Schizosaccharomyces pombe: one gene and its partner. The protein of the gene in region 2 interacts with the protein of the main gene of each other region in a pairwise test. Each region holds a gene or a part of one and is shown on either strand. Other genes may lie near its edges.

Region 1 (3,758 bases), on a different chromosome or scaffold from region 2:
TGCGTATATTAAAGTTAGCAGATGAAACATCGAATCATGTATTTAAAATGCTAATTGATTTACAGCTCTATTTTCCAGAATTTTTTTCTAAAAAGGAAAATAGTAAATCATTAGTTTATCTAATTAGCTAAATTGTTGACGTTCATGTCAATGGGTAGGCAACATAGCTTAAGTTGATCAAGAGCAAATGTTTTTGAGCAAGGTAATATCATTGCTTTATTAGAAGCTTAAAAATGGTTTAGCGTAACAAATCGACACAGAAAACTAAAATAGATAATAAAAAGATTTTAAGCAGGGTTTTTCGATGAAGGTATATTTGGTCTCAATTCACAATTTTTATTTCAATTGATTGACTGTTATTACTTAACAGATAACGAAAATTCAAGTTAAACATACGCAATTATAAAAATAGGTTAGCCTTTTTTTTTCTATGCACTTTAAATCCGTTAATTAATTAATTGTTGTAGCCAGAGCTCATAAGATTTGTAAATAAATGAAATCTATTCGAAATCGCAATCATTTAGTCTTATTATTCATAACAATGCAAAGCACGCTAAGTCGCTAGAATAAACAAGTCATACAGAACAGAAAACATCCAACTAGTACAATTCTCTGCACGAAATCATTATAGGCGGTTTTAAAAAAAAAATAATAAAAATCATAAAATTCATTATATTCCCTGCCATATGCTAGTCTTTCGGTTATTGAACCGTTTACTAACGTATAAGTCTACTAGACTTTTCTAACGTTAGGGATACGTGCTCCACTGACGTATGAATTAGCAATATGGAAAACCATGCACATATATATAATACACAACTGATAATACATATCTGCCTACCACATACCACCAAATTTAAAGGTTTTTGTTTGTTACGTTATTAGAACCATGTCTAGTGTTGAATCATTTGTACGTATCCGTTTGGCTAGAATCAGAGATTAACCACAATGTCGCTGAATTTTGGTAAAATGTTCTTTTACAGGGTACTAACATTTCTGTATAGGTTGACTCTGCCGTTGCTGACAACGATGTTGTTGTTTTTGCCAAGTCTTACTGGTACGTTTGCTTAGTAAAGTAATCGTTGCATAAGGGCGTGTATTTGTCACACTGGCTTACCATAGTTTGAACGCTTGTATTTTTGTTTTAACAAATTACACTTCCATATGCCTAGAACCGACTACTTAATTTTTTTTGTTAAGCAGTGATATTAACTCTTAATTTTAGCCCTTACTGCCATGCTACTGAAAAGGTGATCGCTGATAAGAAAATTAAGGCTCAGGTATACCAGATTGACCTTATGAACAACGGTGATGAGATTCAATGTAAGTTTTTATTGCATCTGTTGTTTTGCTTGATGCTAGTTTAGATCTGTCTATAATATAATAGACCTTGAGTCTGTATAAAATGGATGGTATAAAAAAAAGCATACTAACCTCCTTGATTAGCTTACTTATTGAAGAAGACCGGTCAACGTACCGTACCCAATATCTTTATTCACCAAAAGCATGTTGGTGGTAACTCGGATTTCCAAGCATTATTCAAGAAGGGCGAGCTCGACTCTCTTTTTAATACTGCCTAATGAAATTCTATGAGCAATAAATTTTTTTCTTTAAATTACATATCTCAAACTGAAGAAACCTGTATTATAAAGCTCTTAAATCTAAATCTGTGGTATTTTAAAGCTAATGATAGAACTTAGATGCAGCTGTTTTTCCTAGCTACTAACTACAACATAGCACATAAATTTTGCTTTTATTTTGAGTAATAAATCACTCGAGAAATACTGCTCTTTTCGATTACTTTATTAAGTAACTCATCTGTGCACAATTTGTACTAGCTGATTTAAATTTTTGAAAATTTAATTATTGAACTGGTAAAACAAAATCAAGGAATATTAATGCCATTTTTATCCTTTATCATTAGACCTCTGTAAATTCGAAGAGTTTCTGAACCTATTCTTGAAAATTGGGTTTTATAAATTTCTGGGTACATTAGTCAGAGTTCCCAACTCCAATCTTCAATTCCTGTAGTAGCAAACTAAAAAATAGCTATTTTCCTTACTCACTACTGAATTGAATTGATTTCCTTTTTGTTTTAAATACAGAAATTCCACTATTAGACGGGATAAATGCTTAATAGGTTGATTGTCTGAAAATATATTTGTTGAATCAAAAATTTTCAGTTTTGCCAAACAATGGTAGCAATAGAAAATAAAGAGGTCCTTTTTGGAGGTTCTCTAAAAAGCACAGAAGAATATGATCAGTTTTTCTGTCCTAGTATTGACATTCCTAAATTTTTGTTCAAATATTGGGATTCAAAGCCGCTAGGGAAAAATGTCAGCAGTGATCAATTCGCTGAGACTGCAATACAGATGTTGGAATATTTTATTCAGAATAATTATACTGGACCATATCTTCCCATTAAGCCTGAAATATGGCTTCCACAGCGTTTACGCGACGAGGCTACATTAAAGGATGCCATTATAAAAAGTTTAACTGTGGAAGGAGAAAGGCCTTATCGACTTGCACCAAAACTTTTATTTCTTTTACTTTCGCAGACTTTATTTAACTACGCAAATAGCAAAGATCCTTTGCACATATGGTATAAAGCTCGCCTTGATTTTTTGCACCAACAAATGCTTAAAGAGCACGTTTCAGAGTTGTTTAATCAAATAATGGAAGGCATGCATATCGTGAGTAGTCATGTTTCTTCACTAGATCGAGATTTACAAGGGCGGTTTACTATGGAAATGGGCCTCATACAATCTTATTACGGTCGTGATACTTTAGCTCTGCAGTTGATGAAGGAATCAGCAAAAGTAATGGACTTTCATTTTGAATTAACTGGTGCTCTTGGTCGACGCACAAAATTCCAAACGTTTGATACTTCGCAGCTAGTTGTTTTAGCAAAGTCTAGAGACCGATGCAAAGATACCGAGCAGAACAAATCAACTAGCACTCAACCGATAACATTTGAGTTAAATGATGATACTCTTTTGGAGAAAATCTCCTTTAAAGAAGATCAAAAATCATTGGCTCCTTCTGAAGAACTTGATCCGATTTTGTCATCCGAAGATCCCAATCATCCCTCGAAACTTGATCCATTGGACGCATCTCTATTACTTGCATTTTGCCATATCATAAAGAATAACAATCCTGATGATGGACTTACGCGTGAAGAAATGGCGCCTTACGCAGAGCGCGTTTTGGTTTATCCTGTTAATTGGTCTGTCTATACAATGGCTTTGCTTGTACGTGCTCGTCTCGAGGGGTTTAAAAGTCGAACTGTTGAACGTAGTGTTCTTCAAATGCAAGCATTGTTAGATCAACTTAACGATCAATTGAGTTTTGGTAAATCACCTGAAGGTGTAGATAAACCAGAGAACGATGAAGGTTTGGGATCTTTCCTTCCAAAACCGCAAGATGGAGAAAACTCTGCCTCGTTGAAAGAACGTCTCAATTACTTTTATAATTTGCTGATGCCATCTAGATGGCAGTTAGAAGCTGAATTGGCTGAAAGGTTCATCTCTGTTGGTGCCACCAAATCAGCCCTCGAAATTTTTGAACGTTTACAAATGTGGGATTGTGTTGTGATGTGCCATTGTTCACTTAATCGTCAAGATCTGGCCGTTCAAGTAATAAAGCGAGAATTGGAAAATGATCCATATGATTTTTTACTTCGTACTCTACTCGGAGATATTGAAAACAATCCAAAACATTATGTTGAAGCATGGGAGTTATCCTGTAAAAGATTTGCT
Region 2 (3,758 bases):
AAGGCGAATGTAAAGAAATACAACAGTATAAACGAGATTGACTGCTTCCCAAAATGATTTTTTAAAAGGATGTTTGTAAATCTGCTTGTATCCAACACACTGGGCATACAGTGAAAAGTTATTCTTATGAAACCAATGTGTCAATACGCTTTGTAAACAATGACAGAAAAGAATGTATCAAGAGGTAATGGTTGTAATTATCACGTTATAGATAGGTATGTAATTATTGATATAAATCAAGAGAAAATGTATACGTATCCAGGAATATCAACCTTTGTCGTACACATTATTATGTGTGTGTATGTGATATAGCAGCATCAAACTGGTTTGCTAGATCTAAAAACATATGGACATCTCTTTATGGATACGTATAGATGCCAAACTTTGATGTATGAAGATTTTGACGAGCTAGGCCAGCAAGTAACTCAACAGCCGCATGTACACCATCAATGATGGGAATATTGGGACCTACGGCAACCTGAATCTGATCACGAATAGCTGCTAAAGCAGCACCACCTAAACAAATGACATCTGCACCCTTTGTGTTTGCCAGTTCTTGGGCCTTTTGGACAAGAAGGGTTTCACGCTCTTGTGAAGGCATTTGCGAAAGTTGCAAAACTGTGCGACCTGTAGAAGCAATGGCGGCCACTCGAGTGCGCGAAACACCAAAAGAATCGAGTAATTCGTAAAGCAAACATTCGGAACGATATGTACTTGTAAGGATGCCGATGCGCTGACCAACCGATAAGGCACTGAGGACAGACGCTTGCACAATGCCCATGCAGGGTAAAGCAAATGACTCACGAATCATGTCGACTAGAGGAGTGGGGGAATAACAGGCAACAGCTATAGCATCGACACCATCCAAGACACTAGGAGTTAGGGCTTGGAAGACTAGAGCAGCTGTCAAGGTTGCCTCTGTGATGGAGTCGATGACAGCAGCACCGGGTTGAGGACAAGTTAGAAAGCGCAACTTTACATCTGAAGGCACTAGGGGAACGAGTTTTTCTTCCATGGATGTTGTGATGAAGGTGGAAGAGTTTGGATTGATGACGAGAATGGTAGGCATGATGAGAGAAAATAGAAAGGTAAGAGACGAAGAGAAAGAAGGTAGAGAAGAGAAAGCGAAGAGAAAATAGTAAGAAAAAGAGCAAGCAAAGGGGAAATAGTAGAAAAAAAAAAAGTAAAAGAGAATGTTGAAGCTGAATTTACAGAGACACAAAAAATAATACAGTTTATTGGAAAATAAACCTTTTTTCTAAACTGTTTGTCAAAAACTAAAATTGAAAAACCAGTGTCACAATTTATTATAAAGTGTAGAAAATCGAGTTTCCAACAAAATGGCTTGAAAAACGAAAAATATTTTTAACAAGTAATGACTAAAATAGATTTGATCGTTTGTTTGGTTTTTGCTTATTTACTCTTAGTAGACTAGACTCGACTAGACAATCTATTTCAAGGTTGATGACTAAAAATGCTGTTTCAAGCTGCTGTAGACTGCAATTGAAATTGTCTACAGAATTGATAAGACGCAAATCAAGTGTAAGGGGTTGTTTGAGTAAACTTGGAAACTCCGTTTCCAAGTTGTTCAATGTGCACTCTGATAATGAACACAGTCGGACCCGAAGAGGAGATGAGACTGATGACTAGTAAACAGCGTCAGTGAGTAGCAGCAACGATGGTACTGATAGTATAGGTGATTGAAAAGTTTGTAGGACAATGTTGGATTGCTATGCTATACTTGAGCTGCCTTTGGAATGTTGGTCAAGCAAAGCACAAGCACCACTAACCACCAGACTTACTACTAGCGCTGTTAGGATTATGTAATTGAAATATTCTCATTTACCTGCAAAACGTTAAATCTTCTATATGCACTATCTCCCACTTTACTCTTTTACCGATTCTTTCCCACTCGTTCTACACTTGCAAACTCGAGTCCGAAGCCCGTTCCAACTCGCACCCTGTCCCACTAAAAATCGCACTCCAGAACATCGGTGCTTAGTCTTCTGGTCAAGAAATTTCCGCCGATTGTCTTAATGAATTCCCCTCAAACCTCAATTTAAGTCATCACCTAGACGGACGGGTGCGACTTGGGTATTCCCCCTATCGATGCCTACTTCTTCCAATGACCTTTACCAAACAAGACTTGATGTGCAGACGCCAAATCGATGGTTTCTTTACATTTCATTAGAATTGTTTAACAACATGTATTCTCCGTTTCGTAGCAGCTCAGTCTTACTCAGTGGTGCTCAGTCCGATATACCGAAGGTTGGCAAATGCTTGTTTTTGCCATGCCGCTCACTCGAATTTAGAGCATCGGCAAACTCACTTAGCGTACATTTCCTACTCAATGTAATTTCAGCAATCTTATCTATGTTGATAGAGAGGTATGCGGTAGAAGTGATAATGAGCAAAATTACATGGCCCAGGAGTAATGAGGATTGGAGGTTCCATGGTATAAAAGGTTGATGTGAATACCATGTTGTCTCATCAAATCAAAAGAAAAACTCACTGAAGAGAATCACACTGACCATTGTTCGTCTTGTGCTTCTGCTACAATTGATTTGAATTGAAGTTCATAATAATACCTGGGTGATACAACATCTACGTAAAGTCTTCAATTACTGCTACTCTCCGTAAAAACAACTAAATATTCGTAACTTTTCTCGCTGTCCCAGCTTGTTTACTTGCTCCGATAGCATTGTGCATTATTGACTTGTGTAAATTTCCTTTCAAATCTTAGTTTAATTTCGTTTTGAACAGCCAATACCCATCGTGTGTTGCTATAATCCATTGTTATAGATTTTCGAAAAGAAACAAACATTCGAAAACCACTCTACGCCATTGTTATCAATAAACGAAACGATTGTTGTGAATTTTCGACTTTTGCTCCTCTACTTGTCCAAAGTTGAACTCTACTAGTTTAAACGTTTTTAAGGTTATCAAGAATACCTTTTTTCTCATATTTTTTTTTCAATCCTCCTTTATTACTCGTTTCGTAAGAGAACCCATCTTGTTTCTTACCAACTTTTCTTTAAATTCTTCGTTCAATCATGTCTGCCACTGCTACTACTACGGTTGTGGAACCTCCTACCACCACTTTGACTGGTGCTACCGAGCCACCATTTACTGCTTATACCACTTCTCAAGGTCTTCGTGTTTCCCCTGTTCCATTGCCGGAACACAATACTGATGTTGGATTTGGTGCTTTGATCGAAAATGTTGACTTGAATAACCTCTCGGATGAACAATTCGAAGATATCCGTAAGGCTCTTTTCGAACATCAAGTGGTTTGTTTCCCCAATCAACACAATTTACCCCCAGAGACTCAGTACGCTATCACCCATCGCTTTGATCCCGAGTCTTCTACCTATGGTCACGGCAATCGTACAAATCAGCAAAACAACAGCATCTTACATCCCGATTTGCACACCCTTCCCGGTGTTCCTCAAGTACAACTCATTGGTCATGGTGTTGTGAAGGATCATTACGGTCTTGAAGAGGTCCGACTTAAACATCCTCATCATCGAACTTTCCATCGTGATCCCATTTCTGAGGAGGAAGAAAAAGAAAAACAAGTCACCCGTTTTTATCGTTGGCATATCGATGCTGCCCTTTATGACTATAACCCTCCTGTAGTCACTACCCTTCTCGCCGTTAATGCTCCACAAGGCACCCAAACTCTTCGATATGATGATAAGTCTGGCCATGAGATGCCTGTTCCATTAGGTTCGACAGCTTTCGCCTCAGGCTATCGC

What was found.
Region 1: the proteins of SPOM_SPCC576.02 (region 2) and ceo5 interact in a two-hybrid assay, tested with the Schizosaccharomyces pombe proteins (one large-scale study listed by BioGRID).

The regions. Positions count from the first base shown.
Region 1 is NC_003424.3:4,873,380-4,877,137, forward strand, and holds the start of ceo5 (TTC27 family TPR repeat-containing protein), read left to right. Parts: upstream 1-2,007; 5' UTR 2,008-2,195; coding exon 2,196-3,758. Other genes in the region: glutaredoxin Grx1, read left to right, coding at 890-910, 1,005-1,057, 1,226-1,323, 1,447-1,580.
Region 2 is NC_003421.2:2,079,958-2,083,715, reverse strand, and holds the start of SPOM_SPCC576.02 (hydantoin racemase family protein), read right to left. Parts: upstream 2,010-3,758; 5' UTR 1,847-2,009; intron 1,805-1,846; 5' UTR 1,070-1,804; coding exon 359-1,069; 3' UTR 1-358. Other genes in the region: SPOM_SPCC576.19C (uncharacterized protein), read left to right, coding at 2,110-2,469; alpha-ketoglutarate-dependent xanthine dioxygenase Xan1, read left to right, coding at 3,054-3,758.